Oreochromis niloticus: one gene and its partners. The protein of the gene in region 2 purifies or fractionates together with the protein of the main gene of each other region. This does not show direct contact. Links are inferred from orthologs where the notes say so. Each region holds a gene or a part of one and is shown on either strand. Other genes may lie near its edges. The genes, in order: eci2, mapk6 and cep170aa.

Region 1 (6,999 bases), on a different chromosome or scaffold from region 2:
TCACGTTAGTGCTCCGAGGAGACAAAGCTGCAGCACACGCACGACTCCAGCCAATGACAGGAGATCAGCACGCTCCCACATGTGAACGCTGAGCATAGTTTTACTCACATCTCCAACCGGGACGACCGACTGCTGAAGAACGAGCAGAAACAGAAGCAGCTGCTGACCCCACAGCCGGCCCCACAGCTGACGTAAGACTCTGGCAGGTGGCAGCAGTGAAGCTCAGTAACGAGACTTATATTTTCCTTCACTACCAAATCTAATCAGTCCCACAGTAACACCAATTAAATTAGTTTTTTACACTGAGGTTAATGAAAATTAGACAGTTTTATGAAGTTTTCATAAGTATCATTTTTTTAAGCTAATACTTTTTTTTAAAGGAGGACATGATTTTTTTTTTAAAAAAGGTTTGACAAATCTGGATTAACCATTTTAAAACCTGCTTTGAAAAGCTCCACGTGAGAATTTTCCAGAACACCAAATGTCTGAATGTGGAACATCTGGAACGTGTGGAACGTGTGGAACATCTAGAACATGTGGGGAACTGGCACCTGTTTGAAGAGAGCGTAGATCTTCAGTTTGACCTCGTTGCCCGGGTCGTTCTTCAGCGTCGACAGTTTGCTCTTCGCCTGCTCAAACTGCTCCACCGTCACACCTGAAAACACGCAATGACATCATCACCGAGAGTCCCCGATCATTATCATCATCATCATCATCATCAGCTGTTTGAGCTCCTCAGGGCCTCTGAGATGAACGTGGAGAACTTATTGTGAGATTATAAAATCCCAGCAGAAATAAACATGATTCAAACCTGTTCCGGGCTCTGTCCTCTCCGTCTCCATAATAACACCTGTTTATAACTCACTGTGCTTTGAAGGCTCTCCTGCTGCTGTGAACATCATGGATGATGATGATGATGATGATGATGATACTCACCCATCATGGGAGACGCTGTGGTGTGAAACTTCAGGCTGGGAATGTTGGATCGGACTGAGCTGGAAACAGAAGCACACACAGTGTTTACAGAGCCAATCATGACTAACCTGACTCACACTTTCACTACAGCTTCACCCAAACAGGCGCAGCTCAGTGATGAAGAGTATTGCTGTGGCTTCATCGTCATTTAAGAGCAGAACCTCCATCTTCAGAGTGAATAATATGAGCTAGTGATGGGTCCAGCAACACTGACGCACCGACGCATGTATCAAGCTCACAGAGCGAAGCCTGTATCGGTGCGTGCGTCACTTTAAGAAAAAGCCACGTGATCGATACAGCTGCTGTATCGCTCATTACCAACGCGCCAAACTGTGTTTAAAAGGTACCGCATCCGCACCTGCCAACGGAATGAGTCGCCACCAAAAACCCCCCCCACAAAATTACTCTGGCAAAGAAAAAAAAAATACACATCTGTCCATAACAAAATGGAGCCCAAAAGAAAAAGAAATGTTTCTGTTGTGTGGGATCATTTCGATCTTTTAACTGCAAATAAGGTAATAGTTTGTCTGTCTTTGTTTCAGTGTAATCTATCAGAATAGGAAAAACAGCAATGTGAGTTGAAGTGTAAATTATTTATTTCATTTTATGCAGGTTAAATGTTGCATCTGTTCTGCATTTCTTACACAAACAAAAGCACCTCCTCAATGTTTAGGCATTACAGAGCCAAACATGAAAATGAGGAGACAAACACACCGAGAATGAACACAGGTCGGCCTATATCATAATTTTTTTTTTTATTAATATGTGTTTTATTTTTCAAATCAAGCATCTAGGAAGACTGCTCTGGGCCAGGCAGTCCTGAATTTTATTATAAAGGACTGCCAACCCCTTAGTATTGTGGAGAGTGTTGGAGAGAAACATCCCAAGATCAGAGGATCCTTTAACGTACTGGGGGAATAGGAAGACACCACATCAGAACCTTTTCCACCTGACTTTACAGCTTTTGTGTACCCCAGCTTCATCTGTGCCGGTGAGTTTTCCAAAGCTGGGGAAATGGTGTAAAAAAAAAAAAAAAACCGCAATAGACTGAATGCAAAAAGATTGAATAAACTTATTTTTCTGATTAGAAATTTATAATAAACTCTGAGTCGAATGGGTAATATTACATTCACAACACTTTCATTTTAATTTTCACTTAGTGTCATTCACACTATATTTTAAAGATGTATTGTATTTGTATAGCACTTTACTAGTCCCTAAGGACCCCAAAGTGCTGTACACATCCAGTCATCCACCCATTCACACACTGGTGATGTCTACAATATTTGCAATATAAAAGATATAAAATGATTCCATAGAAAGTACAATACCTTACAGTGTACAAGTATGACTAGGTCATTGAATTGTTGTGAAATGTTGTGAGTCTCAAGTAAGTTGCCTGCAATGATATTTAAGGTCCAGCAGGTGTCAGTATGGAGCAAAACAGCAACACTGTGTCGACACGGTGCCGATACAGTTTGGGGAATGTGCTGAAACGCTTCACGAGGCCTCATCTACCCATCACTAATACGAGCTGTAACATGCCAGCCCACCTGTCTGCTCACCTGTGACCCGCTCACTGAATGAACAGAGGATGAAGCTGAGCCTCATCTTCAGGTCATGTCTGAATGTGGAGCAAAGGTCGTGGCTAGCTGCAGCTAGCTGCTTATATAACAGCTGATATTTCTCCGCTTTGAGCGCGAGCAGCGCACCTGTCAGCCTCAGCCCGTCTCTGTGTGACACCTGAGTCTGACAGATGTCGTTAGCTGTCAGGTAACCACAGACCCCCCGACACTCAGTGCTAACAGCCATGCTAACTGTTAGCTTCCTACAGACTTTTCTAACTACAGTTAGCATCTAAACTTCTGGTTCCGCCTCAAACACCCCGCACCGGCGGGCCTCCCCGGTCATACCCTGTTAATGTGACACGGCGCCAGACAGCGGAGCACCTCAGGGCGATGCCGGCCATTAAAGCGCAGGTCCGGGGGTCCAAGCTTCGGGAGGACGGGCTAAGGCGGTGAAGGGTTAACTAGCGTCGCCACAGTGGAGCTAATCAGCGGCTAACATGTTTACATCGCTGCTCCCGCCCACGCCGTCATCTCCTGCTCTCCCATTGGTTAAAGAGAACTGCTGCATGTCTTCCTCTCTCTCTGCTTCCTGTCAGTCCTGACTGTATCTATGGAATAAAGCCAAAAAATAAATAAAGTCAGCTTCAACACAGACTGAGCTCATGATTTGATTTGATTTGAAACTAATAAAATGGACAGACTGTATATAAAAGATGGCTGTAGCACAGTTGTGGAGCCTCTTGCTGCCACCATGTTGCTTTCTCTGTCCAGAAGTGACCATATTTAAGAGGCTATCAGCTGATGTCAGCATCACACAGACATAGGTACCTTCTCATTAAGTATCCAATTCAATCCAATTTTATTTATAACGCACTTTAAAATACCCAGCACAGGAACAAAGTGCTGTACAGAAAATAAGTTAAAACAATAGAACAATAGAAAACAGCAAATATAAATAAATAAAACACATAATACATAAAATTAAAACAGCCCTATATTAAAACAAAAACAAGATAAAACAGCATCGAATCACCTAAAAACAACTGAAATAAAAATAAAAACCAACATCTCACGTGGTGTCAAAGGCCAAGGTAAAGAGGTGGGTTTTCAAGAGTGACTTAAAAACAGGTAAAGAACTGGCCTGTCTAATCTCTAAAGGAAGCTCGTTCCACAGTTTTGGAGCTGCTGCAGCAAAAGCACGATCTCCTCTAAGTTTACGCTCAGTCCTGGGTACATTCAGGAGCAGCTGATCAGCTGACCTGAGAGAGCGGGTGGGTGTATACAGCTGTAGCAGCTCAGAGAGATAAGATGGGGCGAGGCCATGGAGGGCTTTAAAAGCAAATACAAGAATTTTAAAATGAATCCTAAAAGAAATGGGCAGCCAGTGAAGTGAAGCTAAAATAGGGGAAATGTGCTCAAACTTTTGAGTGCCAGTTAAAAGACGAACTGCAGCATTTTGCACCCTCTGTAGATGACTAATATATGATGCACTGACCCCAATATAAAGTGCATTACAGTAATCCAGCCGAGTGCTAACAAAGGCGTGGATCACTGTCTCAAAGTGCTGCGGTGAAAGAATTGGCTTTATTTTTGCCAACTGCCTGAGCTGAAAGAAGCTTGATTTTACCACTGCCTTAATCTGATTATTAAACTTCAGATCACAGTGCACTTTGACCCCCAGGTTTGTGACAGTTGGCTTAACATACTGGGCCAGGGAATACACATTGGGGGTCTCAGTGGGGCTACCAAAAACCATTACCTCTGTCTTTTTATCATTGAATTTTAAAAAGTTAACAGACATCCAAGCTTTAATGTCATCGAGACACTGAAGTAATGGCTGTGTGAGGTATCTGCCTTTTTTCTTTAGAGGGACATAGATCTGACAGTCATCAGCATAAAAGTGGAAAGCAATGCCGTGCTTTCTCAGTACAGAACCAAGAGGAAGCAGATATAAAGAGAAGAGGAGGGGGCCTAGAACTGAGCCCTGTGGGACACCACACAAGAGGGGAGGACGACACATGGTCACCGAGACTGACACAAAAAGTTTGCCCTGCCAAGTAAGACCTGAACCACTCCAGTGCTGTGCCCCTAATGCCCACCCAGTGCTCCAAACGAGAGAATAAAATGGCATGATCCACAGTATCAAACGCAGCTGTCAAACCTAAAAGCACAAGAACAACACAGTCCCCAGCATCAGTCGCTAAAAATATGTCATTAAAAACTTTTAAAAGGGCTGATTCAGTGCTGTGAAAGGGTTTAAAACCAGACTGGAAAACCTCTAACACATTTTGCTTTTCCAGGAAGGCCATTATTTGGCTGTAAACTACCTTTTCAAGAATTTTAGAAAGAAAAGGTAGTTTGGAGATAGGCCTGTAATTTGCAAGAACCGTAGGATCAAGAGCAGGTTTAAGTAACACCCAATCAAAGTTCTCAAATTTCACTGTGCACAAAACCTGGAGCTCCACATTGTTGGATGCTCTGTTACCACAGTAACCTCACAGCCGCCATGTTATTGGTCACATGATGTCATTAAAAATGCTCCAACAGCACAAACACGGTCCAGAGGTGCAGTTCAGGTGAAGCTAGCAGACAGCTAGCAGCTACAACCACCTGTGTCACCATCCACCTCTCAGTCAAAGAGGCCACGCCCCTATTAATGCAAACTTTAATCCTTAATACGATTTAAACAGGTGAGTTATAAACAGGTGTTATGAACGCAGATATTATCTCTGGAGATCAAACAGTCTGTGTATCAGTCTGTGAGCATGAATTTTTTTATCCTTTATTGAAAGAAATGATCAAATACAAGACAAGGAAACAGACCAGCATTGTAACAATTTACATTATAAAGATGGTGAAGTAAGTCATTTTAATTTCAAAGGGAGAAAATAAAGTATCTGAGGTATAATAATAAGGAACATGGGCCTTTTGACACAGGCAGGAATATTCAGAATAGCAAGTACTCTGTGGTTTTACAGTATAGTACAGCAGTTTTTTATTCATATTTGAAATAAGCTTAAGTGGTAAATGGCCTGTATTTCTATAGCGCTTTCTAGTCCCTAAGGACCCCAAAGCGCTTTACATATCCAGTCATTCACCCATTCACGCACTGGTGATGGCAAGCTACGTTGTAGCCACAGCCACCCTGGGGCGCACTGACAGAGGCGAGGCTGCCGGACACTGGCACCACCGGGCCCTCTGACCACCACCAGTAGGCAACGGGTGAAGTGTCTTGCCCAAGGACACAACGACCGAGACTGTCCGAGCCGGGGCTCGAACCGGTAACCTTCCGATTACAAGGCGAACTCCCAACTCTTGAGCCACGATCGCCCCCTAGTGACTTAAAATTATGACAAAAGTAATTGAAGAAGACGGTAAACAGAGGAGAGGCATTCTTCCACTTACATGAATGAATAAAAAACTTACATAGCACTATTACAAACCTTACAACATCTGAGATTTCAGAATCCAGATTGTCCATAAAGTAAAGAACATCCTCAGATGTGAAGGAAGGTATATTGGAAACTCTGAGTGAAACCCAACAGAGTATTTCAAACCAAAAAGCATCAACATACTGACGAGGGAAAAATAGATGCTCTAATGTTTCTGGATCAGAAGAACAGAAAGCACAAGAGTCGGCCTCAAAATTAAACCTTTTATACAGGAAGTCTCCAACTGGATAAATGCTGAAGTGTTTCTTTCATTTTAGGCACAAGTGGGTATTTTAGGTAAAAAGAAAATGACTTTTCTTTCAACATGCTATCAAGGTCAAGTCTGACATTGACATTATAGTTACAGAATACTATTTGCTTAAAGGTATTAGAGATTAACTTATTATTAAATTGTTTGTCCTTTATTGAGATATTACCATCAGTGAAGGTAAGCATGTTCTTATTAGTGAACACTTTAAAGTATTTACGATAAGATTTAACAACGGTGTGGGTATCGCTTTACAAACCTTATTATAATTATTAAATGAAACGTCTAATTTATGTTTATCAATAAATTCTTTGTAAGATAGCAAGTTTCTGTTTTTATCAAGCAGATCAACAACAAAACTCTCACCTCTATCATACCAGTCTGATTTAAATAAGGATTCTTATTGATGACTATGACCCTGTTATTCCACAACACAGAATTGTGGGTGAAAATTAGTTTCCCAAAATCCAAAGCTTGCTTATAGAAACTAGACAACTTAAGAGGAATCTTAGATATTTCATAATCACATCTGAGCAAAAAATCTAACCCCCGAGCTTATTAAAGAGTTTGTTTGGTCCCACATAGACTGAGGATAGGAAATGCAGTCTTTTAACCATCTGAGCCTGAACGCAGCAATAATGGATTCAAAGTCTAAAGCTTCCAAGCCCCCGTTTTCATAGTCTTTAACTAATTGTGATTTGCGTATATAATGTGTTTTATTCTTCCAGATAAAGCTGACTATAATAGAATTGGACAG
Region 2 (6,920 bases):
CCAGCTTTTAGTTGCATAGTAGCAGATATTTGCAAATAAATATTCCTGATTTATTTTTAAAATTATTATCAACCCACTATTACATAGATAGAATTCTGTAATTATCTCTAGTTCTAATACCCTAACCCCACTCTGGGTTCACTGGGTTCATTATTCAGACAATAACATGCCCTAGTTTAGATGCAGTGAGTTGGCACTGCTTCATAAATAATGAAATTTAACTTAGATTATTTGCATTATTTCTAAAAATCACGAATTAATCACCTCACGTTTCTGATCATTTTTATTATCACAGAAACACAACTGTGTCATATTACTCATAATACATGTATTGATATTTTAGCAGTGTAATGAACAATTAAGTTGGTAAGCAACTAAAATGTCAGCAACTGGTGATTGAATTGGTTAAAATAAAAACACAAAAAACAATCTATTGTTTCCAGCCCAGACCTTTGACAGTCTTTATATCTCTATATTAAATATTATATCATGCAAATAGAGAGTTGTGGAGCTGTAAGCTTCGAGCAGTACTTGAATACAGCAGGAGTCATTCAAAACATTTGAAGTTGGAGTTCATTCCAGCTCAGTGTTTGTGTTTATAGACCAAGTGATAACAGCACTGTACCACAGGCAATAATACTTGCAGGAAATATGACCTCACCATCACCATCCTCATTATCACCTCTTGATGCATGCAAAGTTCAACCAGCCGTAACTGCAGGCCATTTTATAATAGACTAACCCCCAGAAGTAACAAACCTCTAGAAACAGTTTTTTTTGTTTTTTTTTGTTTTTTGTCACTTGTTCTATTATGCAACATAAAATGAGGATGCCACAAGATAATGGACCAGGAAGAACATTCTGTACCCATCCTATTTTATCTCCTATCTGGAAATCTGGGGGGTGGAAATACTGCATTATAACCTGCAGAGCAGATACAGCTGTTCATTTGAGTTGAAACACCTCAGTGCATCATTTGCTTACACTTTGCTCTTTAGTATTTTACATTTAAAATCTGAGTTGTCCTCCAAATAGAAAATGATTGCCTATTTATTGCCTCTCAGAATTTCTGTTGAGAACGCGTCATCCCTCTATTTTCCAACCATTGTTAAATTTTATTAAAAGCAGCATCAATAGTAAGAATGATATTATTTGTCTTTTCTTTGCAAAACGAAGCTGTTTTCTAACTTTTTGTTTCATTTATTATTATTTTTTAGTGACGCGCAGTAGTGGTCTTGTCAGTGACTTAAAAAAAATCCGGACAGGTCACTCACATGCGCCATGCGGATTTACTCCCTTTGGCACCGACAAGGTGTTTCTCTTTTAGCGGCCCGACGTCACATCAGATCTCCGCGAGGATTACACATCCCAAGGAAAAGAAGTGAAGAAATCAAATACGGCACTGATTTGATTCCCTCATTCTACGGATGGTCCCGCGGAGCGTCCGGTCCCTCCTCTCTGTGTGGATGCTGTGAATGGATGGAGGGATGGAGAGGGAACGGGTGGGCGGGCAGGAAGGAGCATCATAGCCGCAGAAGTCTACATCAGCATCCGCATGCAGACCATGTGAGTGCCCATGTGTCCGACAATGCGGCTGGCTCTTACGGGCCGGGGTGGGCTCTGCGATGGAGGACAGAGAGAAACTACATGCTGCCGGAACGTGATGCGGCTCGGTTACGAGTGAGAAGGAGAGAGAGAAATGTTGGGAAAGGACCTGATATAGTTCACCGCTGCTCTTAACATCAGATTATGATTGGGCTATATGTTATCCCGCCCATTAATGCTCCCATAGACGTGGAGTTATGTGAAAACGCAGTTTTATGAGCTATATTTTAAAAGCATAAAGATGCAGCTGAGGTGTTATTTATTTATTTATTATTTGTTGGTTTGGTAAATCTATTATTTATAGGGGGCTTTTCAAGAAGAAATGAGTGAAACTGCCCTTAGAAACCTGATTGACTGTGCTTGTAAAAGTGATGCAAATGTTGTCAAAATGATCCTTTATTTCTGAACCATCCTGTACAAAAAGATCCGGTAGCAGCTTCACTGTCTTTGCTCCAAGTCACTTCTGTTGAGCTGATCGGGCAGAAATCAGAAAGAGAGAACTTCTCTTTACTGGCATCTAGTCCTTTTGCACTTAACTCACTGATTGTGTGCAATAAAAAAGCTCCACTGAGAATAACGGGATGTGATATAGAGCTCCCTCGCCCCCACGAGTGCTCTTTGCTCTGTAGAGTCAAGAATGGAGGTCAGAAGATAAAGTCACATACTTTATCTTTCATGAGACCCTGCCCTCACGTTTTGATCACGTTGGAGACAGAAGATCCTGACTTCTCTTACTTAGTCATTAATGATATATCTCCACCACTCTGAGTCATTACACTCTGTGCTCCGGGCTTCCTCTCTTTTATCATGAGATATAAGAGAACTGTTTCACCAAGTCTTACACTGAAACATCTGACTGAGATGTTGGTATTTTACTTCTGTTTCTGCCACTGTCTTTTTATCATTGGCCCAACACAAACACAGCACTATTGCAGTTCATCAGTCTTGTTTGCTGTGCACAGAGTGTCTCATGTGTGGAAAATGAGTGTGTGCACATGCTGTCAACCTGCCTGTCACAGTGGTAAGAGTCTCTTACCAAAGCGCGCACTTTTACCTTTAAAGAGTATCCGAGTTTATCTCAGCTCCATTTCTGGACATTGCTATCCTCCTGCATGCATCCCCTGTTTTATTATGTTGAACCTGTTCTTCATTTATTCAAAGTCTGCACAAAAACTAAAATGTCCTCAGCTCCTTTCACTCTCAAGCTTGCTCATACCTTTATGAAAGACAAAAATCTTCTGGTCTCTTACCATGGCTGAAATTCTCCAGTGATGAATGGAGCAACATGGTGCCTGAGTTAATAGTCCATTCAGAAGAGTATGCTGTATGTCCGTCACTCCTAGTCCGAAAGGCAGAAAGCTTGAAAGACCCAGTGCACTCCACTGTCTGTTTATATGTGTGTGAATGTATTCTCAGAGCCTTGGCGGTGTGTTATCCTACTCCATGTGCCTCTGGTTGTGAGGTGGAGCTCCATGGAAAGTTAATATAGGCCAAGCCGGAGAGGGGAGGAGACTGCACTGTGTTTGGCTTGGCCTTAGACAGAGCAGTGTGTCAGACACATAGAATCCACCTTTCTCTGTCTCTCTCTCTCTCTCTGCCACTTTTCGTACTCTTTTCTCATTCTTAAAAAAACCCTGTTATTTTCAGATTTGCTCACTTTTATTTTGTAAAAAGAAAAAGAGTTAATTATCTATAGCCTGTCCTGAAATAAACTCTTGCTTCTAGGTAAGACACTCAGGAGTTATTTGTCTTTTTTTCTTTTTAAAAAAAAAAATCAATTTGCTTAAATGGGAGAAAACAGTTTTTGGTCACACATTTCGAAACTTGACTATCAAGTCATTGTTTGCAGACAACCAGACTAGATACATCTGCACAAAGAGACCCTTTTATGTGTGGGCATGTGGTGTATCCTTGGAAGGGGTGTCCTCTGGGTTTATTGCTCTCTTTCATTGTCTGTTTCAGTAAGGGTGTTCGTGAACTTGTGAATTTACAAATGCCAGACATGAGTTTCTGCTGATTCTATAGGAAAAATCATTTCCAGTTTTTCTGTTGCCCCACAAATCTGGTTTTGCCTTCCCTGAAACCTGCGTCTGTTCTCTGCCTAATCACAGCATCTCACTGGGTCTGCTACTTTCTGGCGGTGCTCCTTCCTCTGTCCTGTCTACTTGTCGTGCAGCACGTCCCAGTGTCTTGACAGGCTTGACAGGCTGGCATGTTTGGACTGTAAGGAAAGACGTGCATGCACATTTGTTTGATATCCAAACCAGACCGCTGCAGAGTCTGGACCAGCTGTATGTTATCAAAATATGCATGTGAGAACATGAGGTCAAGCTGCGGGTTTGGGGTTGTTTGCCTATATTTTGCTTTTTAAATTGTCACTTGTTTGCAAGGGATTAATCAATGGAGTGCGGTGCTTATGCTATAAACTTGTGCGCTGCCATGAGCATTGCCTGTGCAAGCAATGCTGCGCTCACTTGTTAAACAGCATTAATTAATTAATCACTGATTACCCTGCCTGAGTGCAGTGAAAAACCGTTGCATAGCACAGCTTACAGAAGCAATAAGTCCTGCTCTCGGTAGAATGACCAGCACTAATCTCTGATGCTTTTCACTACAGTGTCCTCTGTTATATAACAGTCTGCCTCACCGGAGCTCAAACTAAGGTGCAGAACGGCTCACGAAGGAGTTTCAACTCTCGCACCCTTGTAAATGACCATATGACCACAGGACGTGTACAGCAGCTATATAATCCATACACACTCTGTCTGATGCTGCGCTAGTCGGGTATTTCACAGTGTTGTGAAAGAGGCTGTGAAGTGTTTGTCATTGTGTCTCCAGTGCAAGGGGCAAATGTGTTTATGCAATGGCATGACTTGCATATCTTGACAGATGAGGTAGTGTTTCTGTGTTTTAAAAACTTTTTTTCATGTATGATCACTTTATTTCCAAAGCTTGTTGTGTTTAAATTGAACTGGACTTCACTGCTGCACTGCTGCTCAAAGGTAAAGCAAGCCAACTGTATTGAAAAAGCACATTTCATGCATAGAGGTAGTTTCGGGGTGCTGTATGAGACAAAAAAAACAACACAGAACAAGTCGACAAGTGCACATTTTTGAATTTAAAAGGAAAAAAGTTCAACTTAAAACCACATGGGGGCACAATAAAAAGAGTATACTTATATAAAACTGAACAATAAAAATAATAATGCACTGATGTTAGAAAATCCAAGTGTTTGTGAACTGTCTGTCTGTCTTCAGTCTGGATTGAAGGAGCGTATTTAACGACACTTAAGTTCATGTCAAGGACAGATGAGTTCACATCCAGCTGTTCAAACGATTTACTCCAGCGGGAGGTTGTTAGTGGGATGTGACAGTACGATTACGCAAGACACAATAGTGCCACCACCACTGGCATGAAAATCAGGCTGTTCTTTTTATTTGGGATAGTGTACTTTGGTTCAATTCTAAGATGAGACCACACCATGTGTAGCGTGTATTCAGTATCAAATCACTTTTGAAATTAAAAGATTGCAGAATGATATCTCTAGTGATTTTTAAATTAACACAACCTTCATTCATCATATCAACCACATGACCAAAAAGTGTGTCAGAATGAAATCTCTGCTTTGCGCGAAAGATAGATTTTGAATAAGTCAGAAACCAGAACTGCGTGTCTGCAGATTATAAATGTGCAATCTCTTTTTTTTATCAGCATATTTTCATTGCTGTATTTTTGGAAGCAAACAGTGAGATGAAATGCAAGGAGAGGAATAGACCATCTGCCTTTTCTTTGCTTTTCTCTCGCCATCTGTGAGTGGAGAATCCTCACTCGCAGGATTGCTGGGGGTATGATCCGTCCGCCTCTCTGATGTGATATAACCTGTTTTGTCTGCTCCTCGCCCGTCAGACAAATGACAAAATAGTACATTCTTGGGATACTCTGAAGTGAAATGATTAAGTGATCTGGCAGGTACACTGTGTGTATTGTGTGTTCTGTGTGCTTGATGTGATTGGATTTGTTTGTGTGGGGTCAGAGATAAAACTGGGTGTTTGGTGGTGATGTAAGAGGATCAGAGGCTCTGGAATCTGGAGGTTTCTTAACAGCACTAATGCAGAAAGCATTCACTGCTTATGAGTTTGAATCTATTCAACAGGTTCAGGTGAGACAGATTAATAAAAGTCACTGTCCAAACACTGAAGCTGTATGGCAGGATATTATTGCATAATCGTAATCAAAAGCAAATAAAAAGAGCAACCGCTGTATTGAGCAAGAGCATGTTGATTATTAAAAGATTAAAATAATTCCTCTAAATGAGCCGGGATTCTGAGTACATCATAAACCTGATACGTGGTTCATTTCAAGGTAAGTTGCTAAACGTTTGATGACACTTGAGTGGACAGTTTGTTGTTTTTCTTTTCATGGCAATAAAAGCATAAAGATTAGAAAACAAGGTCAAAGTCAGATGCTGAACATGTTTTACGCCACAGCAGTGCCAGAACAAATCCTGAAGGGGATCATAAAGCCGAGATAAGTCCACCCAGAGCATGCTGTCCACAGCACTACAACAGAAGACTGAGGGAGAGCTGGACTGTGATAACGATATGAAGTATGACACACCTGCGAATGAAAAAGCTGCGTTTAATATCAGATATCTCGATGTGTGATAATGATACAACCACACACCTCTGTCCCGTCACTGTCTTTTTACTGTCTACAAGGTCTTATTACTCATAATATTTGGGTTTAAAATAAGACCAAGGACATCCTGTGCCATCAGTATCAACTCTCTCCTGTCTCAAACTTCTGCATTCATCTCCTTCAGTGTGATGTTTTCATGTTTATGAGCTGAATCAGATGGTTTTCTAAACTCATCTATCTTATCTTATCTTATCTTATCTTATCTTTTCTTGTCTTTTCTTTCTTGTCTTATCTTATCTAAAATGTGTTTGTGCTTATTTATGCACAAAGGGGTTATAGTGCAGTTAGAAGACTTAATTTTGAATAATTACATAAGATCGTCCTTATCTTTCCTCTCTGACTTTCCAGCACACAGACGCATTTCCATTGTCTGACTTTAGCAATTCTCTCTAATCCTCGGCAGCCGCAGCATCAAGCTTCTTATCACACATCGGGGTCACACCAGCAATGAGCATGGGATTGATTAGCTCCCTCTGTCACACCAGCACTCTTTAAAGATTGATCCCAGATGAGCCTGAATCTCACTTCAGCTTTCCCATCAACTAAACCCTCTCTTATAATATCTCAAAATTCAGGGGCATGGCAGAGTGGCTGGTGTGTTGATGAGACGCAATACT
Region 3 (7,186 bases), on a different chromosome or scaffold from region 2:
AATATTAAGCATTTTTAGTGAAAAACTGACTTCCCTACAATTTTTGGACCCTTTGGTGGACTTGCAATCATTTGACACCCCCGCTCTAGCTCCACTAGTAACTACATCACAGTTAAGATGATACACTGGTGATGTTTCAAATTACTTGTTAAGCTTGAAATCACAAACTCAAGACCAACCTTTCGGTGACGTAATGATGCATGCATGAAGGGGTTAGATGGCAATGCCAGCTGAATGAGATTAATAAGATGTCTCGGGTAGCAGTTTTAATGGCAAAGATGGAGCATGGAAATGTACGAATGGCATTTCGAAAAGCACAAAACAAGTGAAAACTGGCAGGCATGCAGCAGACATATTCTAACTAAATGAAGTTTGATGATGTCTGTTATAATCACATCTAATATAACACAAACGTCATCATTCTCCATATCACAATCAACAATATGCACCTGTAGCTTCTTAGAAATCTGTCGTATGTACAACAAATTCATATCCTCTACTATCTGGGGAGTGTCTTTCAGAAGACTAGGGCACGGCTGCATGCTCTTTGCCTGCAGGGAGATTAGTTGGAGCAGTATTAGAAGGAAGCAAACATACAATGATGATGCAGCGTACACGGATATGGTTTCAGGGAAGTGAATATTGACAAAAGGGGCACTGCCCCGAACTAGCTTTGCCCTGGAGGGTTGAAATCCAGCTTGAGAAGGGCGTTAGCAAGTCAAGTCGCAGTACATGAAACTATGTTATTAAAGCCATGTGAATTAAAAAGATCAGCATTCGCATGTTTGACGTGCACTTTGCACCCACTCCATTGGGTAAATCATACAAAACAATCACTGTCGTACCGCCCATACCTCTGTTTGTAGGAATAAAGTACTCTGTCGTATTTTCTTTCGTTTAATCTCCATATCCACCGCGGAGCCGGCCAAAAACAATGACCTGGAGCCCCCATTTTTCTTGGAAGTTTGAACATCCCGCGGATCGTCCATGTTGTATGTCCATTCGCTAACAGCAGCTGCACCAGCAGCGTATTCCTGCTCCTGCTTCCAACGGCCGGGGGCGGTTCGATTTCTATTATCTTACCTCCCGAAAAAGAAATGTCCCGTCGTGTCAACATAAAGTAAACCCATTACAAAAGCTTAAAAGTGTATTGTTCTCTCAGCACATTTAATATCATATCAAATAAATAAAAATTAGGGTATAAAATGTAACCAAGCTACGACTTAATAAAATGTTGTAGTCACCATGTCACGCTAGATCAAACCTTAAAATTAAAACAAAATTAAACTCTAACTTACAAATGTCCTATGGAATCGAAATCATTAAATAACAAGAATTAAATAAAGAAAAAGAATACTTTAACAATAATACATAAAAGGGTACAGTTCAAATATAAACATGAAAAAACGTCCCGCTTTTCCCGGCGGCACTGCCATACATAAAAACGAGTGCCTTTACGTCAACAGGGAGGGGGCGTCATTGCGTCAGTGTGTCAGACAAAACAGGGCTGAACCGTTTTCGAGTTTGAATTTTCAGACAGTATAAAATCATAGACAGTATCAGATAACATATATTTTATTACATATGTTATTATTGTATTTTATATTTAATTCATCTGAAAATGTATTTTAAATATTATAATATAATACATACAAACATGCAATTAACTAACAGGCTGTAATGCTAATTTAAAAGTATAATTCTCACGTTTATGCAATGAGCATTTCCATTTTGAGCTCCCATTTTTAAAGCAAAACAAATATGAATCTTTTATATGTTACTGCCATTTGATCAACCTCTGCAATTTCATATTTTTTAAAAGCGGTGGATGTTTTTCTTGTAGTGCCACATCCCTAATTAGTTTGATAATCTCGAGTAGTAATTGGTTCCTGAATATCATGCAGCAGATACAGCCTTCATTATCAGCATGACCTCTGCACAGTCCAGGTGGTGGTACTGTAACAAAAGACCCCGGAACGTAACCAGTGTGAGTCCAGGAAACCCGCCCACCCGGTTCTGGCTGACATCGCTTCTGGTTGAGTTGGAAGCATCCACGGTTGCAGTTGTGGACGCAGGCGCTGCTGAGGATGAACTCCGTCAAGCTGGGGAGAGAAATTCCACTAACACAGGAAATTACATCAGCTTTTAAAAATAAAACGCAGGATTTTGAATTTTAGACGAGGTTGACATGCAGTATAATCCTCTGAGTCACTCAGTACACAGTGATGTCAGCTACTTTACCATCTGTAGAGTACTGTTAGAGTGACTGCCCTACAATAATCCATATCTGTCCATATTTAATACACTGTAACGTTTTATTTCACACTCCTTGAATCAGGAACTAGTCTACAATTGCACCAGCAGCAGACCTATCTATAAGTGGAAAAAGAGTTTTGTAAACATACAGGCATGTGCCTGAAATCCATTCATTCCTAACAGGATGCAAGAGCTTGGAATTTTATTGGGGAAGTGCTATAGTGGGTTTATGGCTTTAAAATGACTTGTCATGTCTTTCTTACTTATATTTTTAAGTAATTTAATCTATGATATCAGTCTTTATCTCTATAATGCTTTTAGTAGCATTGGGTCTAGGGTACAGTAATTCCATAAATATGGTATTACTGTAGATACAAGTTTCTTTTTTTCTTTTTTTTAACTTTCCCCATATAATAAATTATTCAAAATACTAAGGGTTATTACATGCAAATTTTGTCAAAGAATGGTTTCACATATCCCAAAATATAAAAGGATCCATGGGGACACAATGCACACAATCTTGGCTTTATAAGTTAGAACATGATATTGAACTTTTTAGTTGAAACTCATAACAGAAAGACTTTGGTTGAACCTCTGGTTTAACTCAGGTGATCATGAGATTATAGTTGTGCGCATTGTTCTGAATATTACGTTTATTTCAGTATCAAATACACAAATAAATAAATAAGTAATTTAAAAGCTTTCTGGGGAGACAGCGTTTAAACTGTGAACGTCACACACCTTGCAGTTGGGGGGCAACCTTCTACTCATTTTTTCATATGTGTTGTGTCAAGCTGCTTTGAGAGCTCAATGAGGAAGACCTGTCAAGCACAGATAATACCATTTTTGAATTCAGGGTGCTGAGCTGTGAAAAAGGTGTAGGTATTCAGGGTGGCAATGTGAAGTTGTAACACAGCACCATGGGCCATCTCTATGTTTTACACTTGCAGGTGTAGGTGCCAACCATCTTGTACATAGTATCTACACCTCCTTTGGTCTTGTTATAGAATTTGATTAATTAGTGTTTTTTTCCATTTCTGGTATTTTCATCCCCCATTTTGTTGTGATACATCGAGTACAACAGCCATTTCTTTCTTGATGACATAGCTGACTATGGTATCACAAACGTATCACATGTATCACAAACCCAGAAGATCTTCAGGCCATACTTGACGGGCTTGTTTGGCAGTGACACAATCACTCGGGATGAATTGCCGTCTGAATGTTGAATAAATGCTGTCTTTTAATCCTAATTTCTCTAATAAGAAGGATGTTTCATGAACTTTCTCATTTACCATTTTTTAATTACCATACATTCTGTACATTCTTAGAACTGTTTCAACCTATTCTTTTTGCAAACTAAAAACATCAAAATCACATCACATCACATCACAAAAAACAAAACAGAAAAATTGCTATCTACTATGGAAGCTCGTTTCCACCACTAAAAAACCCCAACATTATTTGCCATCCATATATCAAAATTTCAGGTTTTTATCTAAAAAAAAGTCAGAGAAAATAACTCCAAAATGACATAAATCAAAAATAACGTAAAATTTCCAGTTAATTTTGAGAAATAAAATATCCTGAAATGAAGACTTATGAATATCAATTTAAACCCCCCCCCCCCAAAAAACCTAACTCAACTTCCTTTTAGCGGAAGCAAATTTCCATACTGTGACAGCGGTATGATTAAAACTTAAAACACCACTGAAATTATGATCGACGCCTCAACTCGGAAATCTGAGTATCCTGTTGTCTCTTTGACTTTTATTTTGAAACTTCTGACCGGAGGCAGTGATTGGTCTATTTGTCACTTTGACGCCTCTTTCAGGATGTTGGTCCGCTCGCCGCTGTTTTGCAGGGAGTCAGTAGCTTATTGCTGAGCAACGGAGGGAGAGAAGGCCCCCGCATAGAGCCAGACTGAACTGCAGCAACGACAGGGCTGGGCTCCACACGCAGTCACAGAGCAACAAACATCTTTAAGGAAAGGGTAAGTGTGGAGTGTACTTGATTTTTTTTCTTAGCGAACAGTATACAATTGACAGCCCGTAGTATGGTTTTAGCTAGGTGGTTGACCGTTACTCACGTGAAGTTTGCTGCAGACAAAAAAATATAAAGAGTCGCTTTTGCTTTCCTTCTGCACATCCACTGATGTCAGTTTCCTCTTTCAGTGAGCTCATAGAAAATTCCCCCAAATTTTCAAACCATTAAATCTGTATTAAATCTGAGTAAAATTTAGGAAACAAAAAACACTCCGGCTCTTGTAACGACTAAACAGATTGGTCTGACTCCCTCTTGGCTAACGGGATGGCTACTATTGTCAGCAGCGGCATGACAAGCATACCCTGCTCCACCTTTGTAAGCCGCACAGACTATAGCCACTTTGCTGCCCTTGTAAAAACACCGGCCGCATACTGCTTCACTCCAGATCAATACTATTGTTTACTACTGACCTGATTTTGTCCAGTAGTTGCATCCTTTTGTAGCCAGACAGAGGCTAATCGAGACAAGATGCACATCAATGAAGGTCGGTCACACTGAACGCTTTGTTTATCTTAGTGGAAACATGCTACCCCCGGGGTCTTCTTTTAGTCTGTATTGTCTAAGAGGTAGATTTTATGGGGAGGTTTTACTCTAAGTAAGGCAACTGCCGAGTGTTTTCCGATAACGGACCCCCCTCCTCTTCTTCTGTGTGGAGGCTTTGTTTTCGTGGGGCAGATGTAGCTGGCCTGCATGCATCCGCTCTCTTTGTGTTGAGTTTGATTTTTTTTTAGCTGTCATCATCACATTAGCTGTAAAACTTTTGAAAATAGCAGCAAATGCTTTAGTTTAAATGCCATATGGTAATTTGATAACTCTCCCACAGGCTGTTCATAAGCAATTGGTACTTCATGCTAGAAATCAATGCAAAAATATTGTAATTACGGTTTAATTACTGTTACCAATTTAGCACAAATGCTAGAGGAAGATGCATATCAATCGAAGCCTCACAGCTGTTCAAAACATTTAAAATTAATATTTATATTCACAGCATTAGAAACTGTTATATTTTATTTATTTAGCTATATTATGCTCTTAAATTTCATCCTGTAGACTCAAAGGTGCTGGTGAAAGTCACTTGCAGCTCTGGTCTGAGTTTATAACCCGATTAGATGTTCTTTGAGAGCTACGTGTTTCACATCAGTGTGTCTTGCTAGTCTCCTCCCTCAGCTGTAAGAATTCAAATTTCTTGGGTTCGAGCCAAAAGAATGTGCAGATAATACCATCCAATCCAGTTTTGCTCCTTTTCCCTTTTCTCCCCTTTTTCCGCCTTCTTCCTGTGTTCTCCCCACAAATGTGGCTGCCAGCAGGGTTGTTGGCTCCACTGGCGGTTGCATTTTTAAAAACTGTGTCAGTGTCACAGGACGTTTGCTGCACTCTCGGAGAGGAAGCAGCAAACTGACTGAAGCTAAACTACAGCCAAGCCTGACTACAGACGTGTCTATTACACTTAAAACATAGCTTTTTTGAGTTTTATTTTTCTTTAGAAAAAAAATCTAGAAGCTTCTTGCAGTAATTCGACTATCAGTGCTGTTTGATCAACTCACATTTAATGTGCAGTGATGTAAATTACCATACTCATTGAAATCCTGCTTTTTCACCCTGATATTCTTTCTCAGCATCTTAACTCAATCTGCTGTTCAAAGAGTAATTTGTATGCATATAGTATATCCTTCAGTAATATTTTCAATTCTAGTTTCAAGTTGGGGACATTTTTGGAGACTCTTACTCAGCCTGCCCACAGCCATTGTGTATAGTAGGAAGTTTAGGAAGTGAGTTCATTTTACTTCAGTGGCCCGGGAGTGTTATGTGTGACAGAAAACAAGCCAGTCTTGAACTTAGTATCTGATTGTATTCAGTTGTATTTAAGATGTTGTTAAAAGTTTTGTAATTGGGAGCCTGTAGCTAAAAATAGAAGTGAATCTCAGTTTTGTAATCTGCCAGAGTAGAAACGTTAAAAGGGTTATGAGAGTCACATAGCCTTGCCTGGTAACGCTCATGCTGGCGTGTGGTGTCAGAGGGAAAAACAAGAGAGGTGAATAGCGAAGTCTGTGGTTAGAAATTGGGAGAGACAGCACAGTATACCAGACAAAATTCCCCAAAACAAGCATGGAGCATTTTATATATACAATCATCAGCCGCTCCCTTGTTATGGAACATAAAGGGTGTGTCTGATTTAAAAAAAAAAAAAAAAAAAAAAAAAAATGCCATTTAACCTCTCACAGAAAGAGAAATTGCACATCTGTTTTGGGGTGTAACATACTCCCCTCTGAGTTTCCTTCATTTGATACTTCTTTCCACTAGATATCAATCTTATATTTGAACATGTTCTATTCTCATCTTTCCCTCTGCCAACTCCTGATTGTCCTGTTATGCTAACGTTTATGTTTTTTCCCTTCTAAGTGCAAGAGTGAGAGAGTTCACTATTTTTATCTGCTACTGAAGCTATTGCTACAGCCAGGATAAATGTTGGCACCATAATCAAAGTGGCAGGGTTGGCCAAATACTAATGTTCCTGTTAAAGGGCCATTGGTTAGTCATTATCTGCTCAGCAGGGGCTATGCAGGGCCATTAGAGCAGTCATCAGACCAAAGGTATATTTGAAATGACTGCAATATGTTTTCTATGTAAATGGAGTTTGTATGTTGTGCTCTCTTGATGCTAAAATAGGTATAACTATCTACATGAATAATTAGTTAGTTAAAAGTTTCAGGTTTTTGTAATTTAATATTCATTTCTGGAAGTTTAATAGGTAATTCATGTTATTTTTTTCATTTACAATTTATTTTTCTTATTCCCTATTAGAAAGCTGCCTCCAGACCTTGTTTCTGAAAAATGTAGTGTACCCATGCTCCAGAGAATGAGTCACATGAAAATGACTATGCTT

Evidence for each region.
Region 1: the proteins of mapk6 (region 2) and eci2 purify together in Homo sapiens (affinity purification with mass spectrometry; 3 studies listed by BioGRID and IntAct, with this or other methods). This does not show direct contact. The link is inferred for Oreochromis niloticus from reciprocal best matches to the Homo sapiens genes MAPK6 and ECI2.
Region 3: the proteins of mapk6 (region 2) and cep170aa purify together in Homo sapiens (affinity purification with mass spectrometry; 3 studies listed by BioGRID and IntAct, with this or other methods). This does not show direct contact. The link is inferred for Oreochromis niloticus from reciprocal best matches to the Homo sapiens genes MAPK6 and CEP170.

Annotation. Positions count from the first base shown.
Region 1 is NC_031974.2:3,676,507-3,683,505, forward strand, and holds the start of eci2 (enoyl-CoA delta isomerase 2), read right to left. Parts: upstream 3,095-6,999; 5' UTR 2,945-3,094; coding exon 2,889-2,944; intron 2,841-2,888; exon of another isoform or gene 2,541-2,840; intron 996-2,540; coding exon 937-995; intron 915-936; exon of another isoform or gene 903-914; coding exon of another isoform or gene 866-902; intron 656-865; coding exon 552-655; intron 1-551. UniProt on the Homo sapiens protein: Able to isomerize both 3-cis and 3-trans double bonds into the 2-trans form in a range of enoyl-CoA species. Has a preference for 3-trans substrates.
Region 2 is NC_031965.2:13,502,765-13,509,684, reverse strand, and holds the start of mapk6 (mitogen-activated protein kinase 6), read right to left. Parts: upstream 3,070-6,920; 5' UTR 2,856-3,069; intron 1,485-2,855; exon of another isoform or gene 1,275-1,484; intron 1-1,274. UniProt on the Homo sapiens protein: Atypical MAPK protein. Phosphorylates microtubule-associated protein 2 (MAP2) and MAPKAPK5.
Region 3 is NC_031978.2:11,267,093-11,274,278, reverse strand, and holds the start of cep170aa (centrosomal protein of 170 kDa), read left to right. Parts: upstream 1-4,074; 5' UTR 4,075-4,249; intron 4,250-7,186. Other genes in the region: rtkn2 (rhotekin-2), read right to left, coding at 450-551, 855-989.